Lonchura striata: one gene and its partner. The protein of the gene in region 1 binds, or shares a complex with, the protein of each later gene. Links are inferred from orthologs where the notes say so. Each region holds a gene or a part of one and is shown on either strand. Other genes may lie near its edges.

What was found. Proteins that work in one complex are often made in the same cells at the same time.
Region 2: the proteins of GPSM2 (region 1) and NUMA1 are in contact, whole or in part, in a crystal structure (PDB 6HC2), measured with the Homo sapiens proteins. The link is inferred for Lonchura striata from reciprocal best matches to the Homo sapiens genes GPSM2 and NUMA1. Residues at the interface, in NP_001307967.1 of Homo sapiens: Ala28, Leu29, Glu32, Cys35, Lys36, Phe47, Lys59, Thr60, Ser62, Ala63, Ile64, Ser66, Gln67, Asn70, Ala71, Phe73, Asn110, Lys113, Tyr146, His153, Lys157, Pro164, Gln165, Arg203, Gly206, Asn207, Asn210, Tyr213, Leu214, Arg228; in NP_006176.2 of Homo sapiens: Ser1901, Phe1902, Tyr1903, Met1904, Gly1905, Thr1906, Cys1907, Gln1908, Asp1909, Glu1910, Pro1911, Glu1912, Leu1914, Asp1916, Trp1917, Asn1918, Arg1919, Ile1920, Ala1921, Leu1923.

The regions. Positions count from the first base shown.
Region 1 is NC_134611.1:25,004,567-25,012,180, reverse strand, and holds the start of GPSM2 (G-protein-signaling modulator 2), read right to left. Parts: upstream 3,020-7,614; 5' UTR 1,228-3,019; coding exon 929-1,227; intron 1-928. UniProt on the Homo sapiens protein: Plays an important role in mitotic spindle pole organization via its interaction with NUMA1. Required for cortical dynein-dynactin complex recruitment during metaphase. Plays a role in metaphase spindle orientation.
Region 2 is NC_134604.1:4,288,741-4,295,759, reverse strand, and holds the start of NUMA1 (nuclear mitotic apparatus protein 1), read left to right. Parts: upstream 1-4,000; 5' UTR 4,001-4,193; intron 4,194-4,909; exon of another isoform or gene 4,910-5,081; intron 5,082-6,763; 5' UTR 6,764-6,794; coding exon 6,795-6,836; intron 6,837-7,019. Other genes in the region: ragulator complex protein LAMTOR1, read left to right, coding at 689-766, 1,223-1,349, 1,639-1,731. UniProt on the Homo sapiens protein: Microtubule (MT)-binding protein that plays a role in the formation and maintenance of the spindle poles and the alignement and the segregation of chromosomes during mitotic cell division.

The DNA.
Region 1 (7,614 bases):
AAACATTGTTCCGTCTGAGATTACAGACATCTTGTTCTGTCAGTGCTGTTTGGCCAGCTGCTGGTATTCATGGTATTGATCATCTGCTTAACATTTACTTCTTAAATTCACATATTTAAGAAGAGAATAGAGAGAAAATTCTTAAAGATGATTTAGAAAGCCAGTCCCAGCATTAGAAAGAGAGCTTTAACTGCATTTGTGTTTTACTTGACCATCTCCTTTTAAGTAAAAGCCTCCTTTAATTTAACAAGACACTTAACTGTAAGGTTTAAGATTTACAGTCTCCTCTGTAGCTTGAGGCACTACTTCATTTCTAGATTTTAAATGAGACTAAGGCAAGAGACTGCCACTGAACCACTCAAACTGTCATACCTGGGGGACAACACAACAAAACAAATGCCCCAAGGTCACTGCACAGGAGCAGAGTAAGGCAGGGGGAAGAATAGATTTATGCCTAAATTGAGGTTAAGTATATTATATGCCTATGTCTTTTATTGGATCTATACAAATCAGTAAAAGTCAGACACATCAATAGCATATGAAAGGGATAGGGTTTTAGGATTTCACAGTATTACATTATGAGTTTTACACAGATAAACATTAAGGAGTTCTGTCTAGTAAACGAGAGCAGCTTAACAATACGGAGAACTAGAAACACTGAGTTTTAGAAACACGAAAGGATAAAGGATGGACTTAAAGCAGCCATTTAATTATCCAGAAACCTGGTGAGGCCTCAGTCAGTTCTAGGATTATGCTGCTAGACCAAGTATTAGCTGCCAGGTTAGAGGGCACCCAAGTGACCTGCCAGGCCCCCCAGCCCTGTGCCACCACCACGTTCACTCATTAGCCAGTATTAATAGCAGGGTTTGGCAGGACAATGAACAGCTGCTTGTGTCTCCCAGAATGGGATGACCTGGAGAACAATTACCTTGCAAGAGTTAAATCGTGGTGATGGTATTCCAAGGCCTTTGCGTATTCCTGCAGGTAGAAATAGGCATTGCCCAGCTGGCTGTAAATAGCGCTCAGGGTTCGTAAATCTTCAGTTCCAACCTGCACAGCTGCTTCAAAGAAAGACACTCCAGCCCGGCAATCTCCTGCCTTGCACAGGCGCTCGCCTTCCAGAGCCAGCTCCAGGCAGGAAGCCTCCATCCTGCACCGTGACAAAAAAGGCCAACAGTCACTCCAAGTGCCACACTCTGTCCAGCACCTGAGCTCCGAACAGGGCATTGCTTTACTCAGAGGGCCTCTATTTGTTTAGGAGAGGGAATCAGCACCACACTACAACCAGTGAGCTTTGCTAAGGCTGAAATGGAAATTACAACTTCAGTGGTGAGGAGCAAAATAACATTTGAACAAACAACTGGAATTTCTTTTTTTTTTTTTCCGGTCTCAGAGAGGAAACCAAACACTGCTTTGTCTACAGGGAGCACACGAAGGGTTCAAAAACAGTTTTCACCATCTAGATAATTTCAGAAAAGTTACCTAGAAATCAAACTATTACTGACAAATACTGATTCTGACAAATGGAAGCACTTCAGATTTTTAGGGTGATGCCATAGTAATCTGCAAAATTATTCACAGGAAAAAAATTAAATTAGAATATTCTATGTATCAAAGACTGACTAGTTTTCCCCAAGTTGCTTCCTCTGTAATTCAGTACTCCTTGGCACTTAATTTCTTATACTAGGCACTATGAAAACTGCTATGGACTGCTATGAAAATTCTCGCTGTAAGAAAAAATATCTAGATTCAATTAATGACAAAATGTATGTCAATTCAAGTTGCTTCACTGATACACCATTATTCCAGAACACTGGAATACACTGGAACATTTTTTATTATTATGAACAACTAATTGTGCAATTATACAGGTACAAAATACAGCAGTCATTAATGAATTTGTAGAATATTACATTTTGAACATGAACAAAGAAGCTGATAGAAAACTACAATAGCATTCATGTGCATTTTTGCCTCTGTAAGCTCAGGAGTACAAAACATAATATTTTTTATCCAAATGTTTCCTACTTTCTGGTTCTGAGATGCAAGGGAGGCAGGGGAGAAGAAGATGAGAAAGCCAACAGCTCCAGGTCTCAATCTTGAAGCAGTATGGTTCTCCAGCTTTTTCAGGATACATGCATTTTAAAAAGCTTGCAAAAATATCAGCTTTTTTTTTTTTAAGATTTAAAAAAAAACAAAACAGTAAGAGACATTCTGTAATTGTTGAAAAAGTATAAGCTAATATTGCCAAAGAGTGGACAATCAAATGCTGGCTTTTGCAGAAGTTATTTTAGTGGAAATACCACATGTCACCTGTTTTGACCTGACATAGTGATGAAGTTTTTAACATACGTGCAATACATTTTTTTATTTCCTTAAAATAGGAAAAAAATTATTATACAAACATCTACTCACACCTGAACAGGAAGGAAATATTTTTGAAAACTCTAATGACTTCCAAAAGATTTAGAAGAACTGGTATCACAAGTACAACACAAAATTCTGCCATACCTGCTGGTCTTCGACGTGCCACAACTTAAGCACAGCGTGATGACCGACATGTTTACCTTTTGCAACCAAATGCACTGCCTGTTTGGTAGCTGCTAAAGATGCTGACAGCAAAAGGTAACTCCAGCATGAAGTTCTTGCCAAGCCCAACTTTCCAGGCTGGATATCCATAACACATGCAGTATTTTTAGGTTTGCAAACCCTTCTCAGAGAAGTTAGAGCATTCCTATTAGCTACAACACACCACCTGGCTCTCATGACATTGTGCATGTGTCGAATGTAAGAAAGAAGAAGGCAGAAATGATTAAGTACAATTAAGTACAAGGCAGAAATGATTACACCATCAGCAACTGAAGGTTTAGGACTTAAAACACTTCATTGGGTAATCTTAATCCTATCCAAAGAGGTTCTCTCCGGGCACCTCATGTTAACTGACACGTCCAATTAGAGTGACAGCTAGAAAATATGGTGCTTCTCAGTGCAGAGATTTGGACCATTTACACAGCCACACTCTTGGATTCTTGCTTGAATGGCTAAAAAGGGCAGAACTTCCAGCAAAACGTGTGTGTGACATAACAATGAAAATGCTGCACTGGGCTCTGCTTCCCTTAGTGAATTAGTTCCATTTAAAAAAAAATATTTTTAACTGTGATGAATCAGCCACATAATCAGTTAAAAAAAGGCAATTAAAGAATGTACAAGGGCAATATCAGAGAGTGCTGCAGTATGGTAGCCCCCCTGAGAAACTTCATTCATCTAATTTCACACTACACCAAAACTGCCAAAGGACAAGGCAGCATTACCATTTCATCAGGGAATTTGAAATACAATCATTTGACTTTGCAACACTAGATTTAGTATAACCTATAAAAATGAAAGATATGGGATCTTTCATACAGAACACAACTAAGAAGCAAATGGCTTAGACTGATGAAAATCAGGAGTTATTACAGAGTCTTTAAATTCAACCAGAATTACAGGAAGTAAATGAAAATAGGAATTAATAATTGCTTGAGTAAAAAAAGAATGCAAAAATTACACAACTCTTGAGAGGTTGTACTAACAGGTTGCTAGAATCCGTAGAGCAAATTAAAACTTTAATTCCATCTGGATCCATTCCTTCTGACCTACCATTTCAAAATCTAAATAAGCTATACTAAAATAGAACAGAGAAAATTAAATATTTATTCCCACAGTTCTCCGCACTCAATATTTTATTCAGGTTATATAAGAGTTATTAAATCACTCAGTTATTTTAAAAGTTTCCAAGGCTTTTCCATTGAGTACCAAAACTGGATTCAGAAGAGGTTTGGTTTTGGTTTGTATTTGTTTTTTTCTCCCCTCTGCTACTTAAAGGACTCTTATGCAAATTAACACTTTTTTTTTTGTTTGTTTTGGTGGTTTTTTTAGGATTTACGTAGGTGTTCTCCACCTGTCACTACTAATGGTTAAACAGCACTTTGGCAGACTAGACAGGGCCAGATTATCAATGTTTTAGGAAGTCATTAAATAGTTACAAGCAGAATATGACATTACATTCTCTGTTCCCTGGGCTGAATTGAATTATTTACTCAACACCCAGTGGCCAAACAAGAGATTCAATGTATCTGGAGAGAGGAGACGAGAACAAGCCTCATTCATTTGTGCACTTCTAAGGCAATTCTGTTCCTGCTGAACAGGATAGCATTCTTTCAGATACTGCTTGAAATGCTCACACAGGGCTTCATTTTGTTATGCTGTCCATAGCTGCCTGGCATCTTCTGAATAATTTCTCGTTTGTAAAACTGCCTCATCCTTATCTGGCCCTCAAAGCTTTTCCTCCTGCCTGGCTCCCCTTCTTCCCCCTCCCCCCTCTTCTTCTCTGACCTTTTTCATATTCTATTTTAAACCTTTATTATTTCTATTAATATAAACCCTAAGCATATTGCCTCATTGTTTTTGTCTCCCTCCCTTCAGCTGTTCTCATCTCACAATAAGGACAAGAAAAGAGGTAAGAATTAAGTCAGTGGAAGAAGGTAGTAACACTCACTGATTACTGCAATCTCTAAGCACAATTTAGAGTTTTACTCAGTTCAATTCCCACTAAGAGGGCTTTTAGCTTTGGAGGGGGAACACAGCTGTCAACAATTTCCCATGAAACACGTTGGTACAAATAACACACCTAGAGACAAAACAACCCTCATGACATCTCCCTAGTTCAGATGCACAGCATCACTAATGCCACAGCATCCTGTAACAAAGCTGACACACCATTCCTGACTCCTGCCCTTACTCTTGGCTTCTCCCTGTGAGCAGAAGCCTCCAAAGCAACCAGTGCACAGAGCTCCACTGCAGCTCCACTGCAGCTCCACTGCAGCACTGCTTCTGTCAAACTACACCTGATGGTGAGGTTAGAAACAAACAACTCACACACAAAGAAACCACATTCTGTCTTCTTTTGCTCCAGTCAAGATAAAAGCAGTTACAAGTTTTTGGTGTATGAATTTAGCAGGCTGAAAGAAGCAAGTTATACAAATATTAACCCTACAGATCATTTATTCATACAAATCAAGTAACATTAGCATTTTATTTTCAGTCACTAAACAACAACAACAAAAAAATCTCCTTCTACCAGCATAAGAATTTTTATAACTGCAAAAGTGATACTGATGAACTACTGTGGGGAGAAAGAAACACTTGCACAGTCAGAAACCCACAGTAAAGCCTTTGCTTAGGAGTGGGCTCCAACTTCATTAAAATCAGTTCTAATGGAACGCCAGAAGGAAGGAAAGAGCAGTCACAGCCAAACAAGCCCGGGATAATACCTGCAAGTAATTTTTTTTAAAAACTGGTAACTCCCTCTCCAGTAATTTATGACTTTTTATTTCCTCCACTAAATTTTAAACTCCAACAAAATAAAATATTTCCAAATTATAGCTATCAATATCATAATAAAATTCCAGGTCATATACTGAATTAATCTTCAGTTTCTCAAAACTCAAGTTTAATATGTTTTTAAATTAAAATAATTTTGCCATCATGTTTTTTAAATGTGAATCAGGTTATAGTTATTGCAGAAAAATTTAAGAAGGTCATGAATATTGTTATTGTTGATATTTTTAATTGGTCTCATTCAGACCTGTACTGAAATACAGCATAAAGCAGGAAGACATTGTGCCCTGACTGCACTTGCCAAGTTTTTTTTAGCCTGTCAGTTTAAACTAGTCAATTGGCCATAACACATTTTTCATCCATTTAGTTCTATAATAGCACACTGAACAGCTCCAGCTTTTGTTGAAGAGTGAGCAAGGATGTTCTGCAATTGTCTGGGGAGGACCGAGAGCACCAGCAGCAGTGTGGGGAAATGTGGTAGAGGAATGCTGGGAAGTGAGTCCCTTCAGGAAGCAGCACAGAGTTATCACACTTAGGGTCAATGCCACAGGATAAAGATTTTAGCCAAATAAAGAGAGAAAACAGTAAATTACAGCTTGTTTGCTAATTTTTCTCTTTGCTGACCATGAAACAGCTTCTCCAGCTGGCTGCACTGCCACCCAGGACACTGGACTTGTATGAAATGAAATAAAAGATTTCTCTTCTATGAAATGGAAGAGAAGGCCACTCCAACAATCTAACACTGTCAGAAGGTTGAAAGGATTAATTTTAAGCCATAGCATGTGCTGTCTTACAAATACAGGTTAACAGCCTTATTGCTGTTAGCTAGTGAAGAAAAGGCCTCCAAAGAAAGGATGATCAGGGTAGGGGTGGGGTGAGCACACAAGAACCACATTTTTTATTTCTTTTTAAACAATCATTTCAGCCTTCCAGTGTCCCTTCCTCTTGAATGAACTGCACGATTTACCCTTCCAAACACCATGCACTACACAATGCTCCTGTAGTTCAGCTCCATTAGAGCGAGTCTGAAATGCTAACACGTCCCGTGTCTGTAAAGGGGATTCAGAAGAAAAATTATAAAAAGCTCTCAGAAGGGAAATCCCATATCCTCTTCACTTGCAAGAACAGTACTTCTGAGTGCAAGGCACCAAGGCAGTTTCCATCTATCAATCAAACCTCTTTATTTTAAGCACAGAAAATACCTCGTCATTCACCAAAATAATAATGGGCCAAGTACAGAGAACATCAGCAGACAAAACTCAGCAATTTGCATAGGCAGTCCAACAGCTAAAAGAGGGAGCAGCCATTACCCTGCAGGCATCATACTTCATATCATTTTACCCCAAATACAAAGAAACACAGGCAATAATGTACTATGCCGCTACCATGCAAGTTCCAGTACTATACAATCATTTAATCATACTAATATAATCTGCTACATAGCAAAAGTGAATTTTCATCACTCAAAAATCAAGAAAAAAATGGAGTTCATTTTAAATTTCAATAACACTACTAGCAGAGATATCAAGCTATTTGTTGCAACTTGTTTAGCTTTCTATTATTAACAGCACTTACTCATTTACAGCAAAATTACCAGTCTTACCTGTATCGCACGTGAAAGGAACGATCTTCGGGCATGCTTATCAAAACATTATTTTCCGCCATTGAGTTACATTATCAGTAGAGAAAAAAATATTGTTCTGTAGTAGGGTAAGTGCTTTATTATGGGCAATTGTTGTCAGAGCACCATTCCAGTTAGTATAGTAAGAAGCTGGAGTAAAGATATCCTAAGCTCCTGTAGAAAAACTCTTCTTTATTACTGAGGTAAGGAGGTCACTGCCAGGCATCTCACACCTTCAGAAATGTTCATGTTCTTTCTTTCATCTGTGGCCCTTTAAGCTCCATTCAGCCACGGTTCTGCAAAGGGAACACAAGATGCTTGGCTTGAAGTCTCATGGTTAATAACTCATCAGCATTTGCAGCTGATGTAAAAGCATAACACTGCTCCTACGAAGCAGGAAACGTCATTCAAGAACTTAAAGGCAGAGCCAAAGCCTTCTACACAGACATGGCAATTCCTGTAGGCAAGTGAGAAAGCCAAAGGGATTTAACAAAAAACAACACTCTCTTCTCTTGGAGACTGAAGAATTTACCCTTGTTAGTATTTTCTGGCCTCATGAAGTTCCAGGAAAAAACTTAAAGGATGAAAACTACAGAATGAAAGGCATAATACAG
Region 2 (7,019 bases), on another chromosome or scaffold:
GGCAGGGTTTGGATATAAGAGACAGCCCATGGGGATGCGGAGAGGGTGGCTGGAGGGGCAGCAGCATTGTATCCCCTTCTGAGGAGGCTTTTCCTCAAATGCACCAGGGCAATGTGGGGAGAGGGCTGTGTCCAACCTGGCTGGGAGGGCTTTGGGAGGCTCTTAGGCCCTCTGCCTGACATTGGAGAGCTAGTGGCCACTGGTGTGTGTCAGCATGCAGGGCCACAGCAGCTCTGAGTACTGCTCTGCTGTGGGGTGCACACAATGGGGCTGTGGCAGGGCCCTGGGCAGTAGCCCAGGTCCTCTGTGAGCCTAGGGCTCAGTACCAGGGCTATCAGGACATCTGCAAAGGACACTGTCCTCCCAGTGGTTCCTTTTTCCTCCAGGTGGCTGCATGCCAAGCTCCCCAGAGCCCAGACCAGCCCCCAGCTTCCTGCAGCATCTGCTTGCCTCCCTCTGCCCCAGGGCAGCTGTGGGCAGTCCCTGGCATTCCTTCCTGGTGAACAGCCACTCCAGCCTGGCACACTTGTAGCCAGCTGGCAGCATTAATTGGGCGAGTTTGGCCTTGAGATGTTTGTTTTGGGGTGCTGTCGGGTGCTGGACTTTGTCTGCCCTGGTCAGAGGATGCTCTGAGATGGGGAGGGAACTCAGGGAGAGCAATGGGAGCCACTGTCTCGTGTCTCTGCAGCAACATCATCGATGTGTCGGCAGCGGATTCCCAGGGCATGGAGCAGCACGAGTACATGGACAGAGCCAGGCAGTACAGGTGGGACCTGCACTTCTCCGCTGGGGTGCCTGCAGTCCTTCACAGCTGTGCGTGTCCCTGGGCAGGTCCCAGGGGTTTTGGCCTGGGGGAGTGAACTCAGCGTGTAGAAAGTCTGCCTCATCTCCGAGAGCAGGGTGCAGCCTGCTCAGGGAAGGCTGATGGCAGTGCAGGCAGCAGAGCCCAGGACAAAGGGCTCCTGTGTTCACCCAGCCCTTGGGGCAGATTTTTGGGGGCTGGATGTGATGGCTTCTGCTTGAAAGGTGCCTGTGTAGGAGAGCTGGAATCTCGCTCATCCTCCTGCTGCGGGGAGTGCAGAGGGCTGGATGCTGGGAGTGCAGCTCTGCTGCTCTCCCTCTCTCCCCCTGGGGGTTCCAGGTGCTTGGGGGTGCAGCACCCATCTTCTGGATGTCCCCACGTCTCGGCAGGTCACTGATGTTCACTGCTCTCCCCTCACAGCACACGCCTGGCCATGCTCAGCAACAACCTGACGCACTGGAAGAAGCTGCCCCTGCTGCCATCTCTGACCAACCAACCACACCAAGTGCTCGCCAGCGACCCTGTCCCCTTCGCAGACCTGCAGCAGGTGAGCCGGGCTGGGGTGAGCCCCGAGCCCCTGCGGTGCTCCCCAGAGACACATCCTCGTCCTGGAGGAGCAGTGATGCCCTCCTGCTTGCCCAGAGCTCTGACACAACTTGTTACAGCTGAAGGCAAAGCCTAGGTCAGGTTTAAAGCCTTGTTAGAGGTGGAGGCAAAGCCCAGGACAGGCTTAGGGACTCTTTTGGGCTGGAGGTTAACCTCCTGCAGCAGTTTCTTTGGGATAACGGGGAGTTTCAGCAGCCACCAGTGACACAGCCATGTCTTCGTGCCTGCAGGTGTCCCGGATAGCCGCCTATGCCTTCAGTGCGCTCTCACAGATCCGTGTCGACGCCAAAGAAGAACTGGTTGTACAGTTTGGCATCCCCTGAACCTGCCCCCACCACTGCTGCTTCAGCGCTTTGGGTTGTTTTTGGTTTATTTCCTGATTGTTTTTTTTCCTCTTTATATCCCTTCCCTCCCCATGCTGCTGCCACAGAACTTGGACAGATATCCTGTTTCCTACTAAATGCCAAGGCGCACATCATTGGCACATTGAGCCCACCTACATTGCTTGAGGCTTTCTCCTCCTCGTGGGTGGGTAGGTGGGTGTGCGTGGGGAGCAGGCTGTGTCAGCTGGACGCTGCCTTGCACAGGGACAAGCACAAAGGGAACAGCTGCTGCAAGGAGGCCCTGGTGTGGGTCAGCACCACGTGCCAGGTTACCAGGACGGGTGGGCTGGAGCCAGGCAGATGTGATGCTCTGCATGGGGCCTGGTGGCTCCAACACCATCCCTTCTCCTTTCTACATGTTTAGACCTTTGTTTTGGCTGTTTGGTTTTTGGTTTTGTTGGGTTTTTTTAATTATTATTTTTTGCCACAGTCAATAAAGCCACGTTCATCCAGTGCCTGTCTCCACTATTCTCTGCTGGACACAGAATGGACATGGTGGGGGAGCCATACCCTGGTGTATGGTGCACATCTGTCTGACCCCTGTCCATCATGTGCCACAGGGCCAAGAGGACGAGGGGACAGGGAATGTATGATGACCCACCTTTAAGGGGAAGGAGGCACCTGAGATTCCTAAATGCTCGTGGTCCAAAGGAATGTCAAAAGTCAGGGCTGGCAAATAATCAGAAAGTTTTATTAGTAAATTACACACTTGGCATGGAAATTGCAGGGTACCTTTTTTTATGGGTAGGTTTCCCCAGCCTGAAGACGGAGTTCTCATTTTCTATGCAAATTAGTTATCATGCACAGTCTGTTCTTTCAGGTCTTCCTGGAAATGGGTCAGAGGGGTTTAGGGGTCTTTGGTCACCTTAATCCTACCCGTAGTCCGTGCCCACTTCCTGCCACTCATTCCTATGCTGTACTGTCTTGTGCTTATCAGCAGGAACTAGAACAAGGATGTTTTTCCTACAACAAGGATGTTTTTCCAGTGCTGCTCTATCTCACCTTGCCTCTCTTCTTTAGCCATACCTTGTTATGGCGTGTTAAGGTCAGCAGGCCTTGTTTATTACCAACAGTCCTTGCTAGACGCCACAACCATCCAGTTATCTATGTTTGAGACATACACATTAGCTCTCCTATGTTCTGGGAATAGAATTTTCAGTGAGATTTATTTTGGACTGTGGTTTATGGGGTCATTAGAGAGTGGGCTTCAGTATGCATTATTAGCCCTTTATAATTGAGAACTCAAAGGGTCTCACTTTGGATTGCTGTCTAGAAGGTTGCAAGAAAGTGGGCTTTAGTCATAGTAGTTTTCCATCTTGGCCACAATTTAATTTGGTTGAAGGTTCAACAACAAAAATACTGTTCCACATTGGTTGTTACTCAGGCAAGAAAAATAAGTTTCCAAGTCTGTTCATTAAAAACCAGATGCTCGATAAACATCTGTTACTTCCTTGGAACAGATTATATCCAATAAGCTCAAGAGGGGCTTAGTCTGGGTGCTCTTTGTGAAGGCCAAAGCCTAACAAGCATTTCTCAGGTCTTGGTGGGGCCTGAGCAGTGGTGGGGACATTCGCCACCACAATCCAGTTCGTGACTGAACCTCTGTGGGCCTCTACAGGGTGAAATAGGGCTGTGGCCACGGGGACAAGCACAGGACCCCCCAAGTGAGACGAGGCCCCGGTAGCAGGTCAGGACAGGTTTGGGGGCTGATGAGGACCCCTGCCTAGCTGGCACTGCAGGGCAGAGTGGGGTGTCTGTGTGTGACACACCGCCAGAGTCCCCCCACGTGTCCCCTGACACACTGTGGCCTTCCAGTACTCCGTGTGGCCCCGCACAACCCCCTCTACGTGTCACACAACCTCCCCTCATGTGTCCTCACCTCTCACTGCGGGCTTCAGACCCACATCCCCCACACCCCCGTGGTCCCACCTGTCTTACTGTTACCTTCACGAGTGTCCCCAAGCAGCCCTGTAACCCACTCCCGACACCAGGGCTTCCGTCGCTTGGACTGTTGCATGTTGCATGTGTCCCCCAAGTAGCCCGCGAGGGTCCCGGTGGCCGGCAGAGCGCTGTCCCCCGCAGCCCAGCGCGAGTGCGGGACCCCGCGGTCCGCCCGCCGTGTGCCGCCCCCCGCCCGCCGGTGCCCAATGGGCAGCAGCGGGGGCGGGCGCTGCCGTTCGAATAAGAGCGGCCGCGGCACGGGCCCCGGCAGCTTCCAGAGCACCGCCAATATTGCTGGAGCCCCCAGGGCATCGTCAGTACTGCTGGAGCCCCCAGGGCATCGTCAGTACTGCTGGAGCCTCCAGGGCATCGTCAGTACTGCTGGAGCCTCCAGAGCATCGTCCGTACTGCTGGAGCCCCGGCGACGCCGGAGACGGACCAAATTCGCAGCCACGGTCACGGTACGGGGAAAGCTGAGGTCAATCGCCGGGCGGGCCCCGGTGGTTGCTCGGCGGGGGTGAATTCAGGGCCGCAGAGCGAGGCTGTGCCAGAGGCGGGCAAAGCGCGGAACCCTCGGGCGAGCGGGGCACGTCTGTGGCACAGCCTCCGTCTCGGGCCAAGCTCGGCGGCGTCCCCGTCCCTAAAGGCATTCGGCGACCGCGTTCCTCGCAAGTTCCTCTGCTGCCCCCAGCGCCGGTTCCAAAGAGCCTTCTCCTTGTGCCCTTCCTGGGCCGTGCTCGGGGCAGCCCCATCCCGCGGCCCTGAGCCTCCGCAGGCAGCCCAGGCACTGCGGCGATGACTTCCGAGAGTCTCCGGAACAGCAGCGTCCCTTCCTCGCCCGACTCCTCCCTCGTCTAGCTGGTGGCCCGTGGGGTCCGGTTCCCGTCGAATCCGCGCCCGCGGGGGTGTGTGCGTGTCGGGGGGAGTTTTCCAGGGGTCAGCTGGGATGTGAGTCCGGCCAGGTTAGAGGGAGACGCAGCATCGGGGGCTATTCTCTTTCCCGAGCCGCGCTGGGGCCGGGAGCGGGTCAGAGCCGGCCGCAGCGGCACAGCTCTCCGCCGCTGGCCGGGGCAGGGTGGCGGCAGCGAGCGCGGCCGGGGTCGGGCGCTCCCCCTCCGCACGGCGCGGCGCCGGAGGTTTCGGTGCCGTGCGCCTTTAACGAGCGCGGCCCGGCGCGGTGACGTGGGGTGGCGCAGGGCCAGGAAGGGGAACCGCCGCCTGCCAGCCCCGCCGAGAGAAGCTCAACAACTTTTCTTTTGTGCGTGGCCGCTGGCTCCCCGGCCCTTCCTGGCCTGCCAGCGCTCATGGCGGATTAACCCCAGCGCGCCGACGACGGCCGCGCGGCCCCGGTAAGGCCCCAACAAAGACTTTCTGCCTCTTCCTCGTTTTGTTTTCCACGGGGCTGGGGGGGAGCGGGGCGGGGGCGGCGAAGCTCAGCTCGCCCAGCTCCGCCGCCTCGCCGCAGCGTGCGGCTCCCGGCCCGGCGCCTCGGAGCCCCGAGGTGCGGGTCCGGGGCCGGGTCGGGCTCGCCAACATCCGGGCGCTCGGGTCGGCGGCTGCTCTGCCCCGCCGCCCCGCGCCGGCTGCGGGCCCGTCCGTGCCGGGGGCTGCCGTGGGTCGCTCACTCTGCCCGGGTGCTCCCCGCAGCCGGACCCCCGGCCTGGGACGGCCCTCGGGCGCGTCCCCCGGCGCGCTGGCACGTCGGGAGCTCCGGAGCGCGGGCTTGCGTAACGCCGTGTTGTGACCGGAGCGGCGCGGGGGAAGGGGGGAAGGACAATGCCGCCGCCGCCGCCGCCGCCTCCGGGGCTCGTTCCCCGGTCCCCGCCGCCCCCCTGCAGCTGCTCTCCTCGGGGATGCGGCTGGGAGGCGCTCACGGCCGCTGGCGGGCTCCCCGACCGCTTCCCGCCTGCCATCGCCAATGGCGCGTCCTCACCGAGGGTCATGGCGTTGTCTCAGATGCTCAGGGTGGCCAGTGTCACCAGGGACAAGCCAGGCTGTGACCGCGGCAGGAGCGGGTAGCCCTGCCCGCTGTGCAGATCTCACACCAGGAACCAGTGTGTTTGCAGGCTGGTTCTGGTAAAACCCAGCTCGACGCTGGTGGGACACAGTTTTTTCCGAGGGTCTGCATCCAGTGCTGCTCGAGTGCTGTGCCCTGTGCCTTTGGGTAGATTTTTAGGGAGAAGTTTTGTCTGTGCCACCGAGGGGAGGGACAGTAGTTGTTGAGTGACCCAGCCATGACACAGGGAGCTGGATTTTAGCCAGATTGGAGGGAGGACCTGTCCTGCTGAGGATCCCATGCTTCCCAGCTGGACCGACAGCAGTGGGAGCTCTGTACTCCCTAAAGCCACCGTGGCTGGTTGGCTGTGCTGTGCTGAGCAGCTGCAGATCCCGAGCAGTGTTCAGGTGCAATACCGGGTGAGGAGCTCCCTCCTCATCTAGGCGACTTTTTGGCTCCCAGCAGTTCCCTCCCCTGGAAGACTACCAGGGTGGCACTGGGGGCAGCCAGCGTGGAGGCAAAGGTCGCTGTGAAGGGGACCTGGCAGTGATCCCAGATCCTGTCAGGGCAGCTCATCCCTGCTCCCACCCAATGCAGTGATGCCCAGAGAGCTCCCTGTACCTCAGCAGGTGGTTTTTTCCAGTAGTAGCTGTGGGAAGGGGAGCTGGCAGCGCTTCAATGGCTCAGCCACTGCCTTGCTGGGCAAGAAATGTTAGTGACACTTGGAGGTGAGAGGGAGGGAAGAAGGCACAGCAGGAGAATGAGGAGCCCGAGCAGCAGTTTTCCACTGACCCCATGTCAGGATCCTAATCTGTGGGAGTAGACCTGGCTGCTGCTCAGCATTGCTTCCCACTCTGTGCCTGTGGGGAAGCAGGAGGATGCTGGCTGCTCCTGCACAGCTGGGATGTCCCAGATGCAGGGACACATCCTCCCTTGGTGGGTACAAATGCCTGATGCTGTCTGAAAGTAATTTAGTAACATAATTACTCTACCTTTTTTATTCCCCTCCCCCCACCCCTCTGTTGGTGTTTTTAGGTCTGGACAGGGACCTGATAGGCTGGCCACAATGTCTCTTCACGGTGCAAGAGTTGCTGCTCTCCTTGCTTGGGTAAGTCCCCCCTCCCCTGCATGCTGCTGCCAGCCCTGGCAGCTTTGAGGCTCGATGCTGAGGCTTGTCACAGGAGGGATTGTGGCTGGGGCAGGTCCTAGGGTAGTCCAGTTCCTGCCATTCCTGGGCAGGTGGGTGTTTGCAGGAGAAGCCTTGCTCACCCTTCCTGTTGAGCAACCAGAA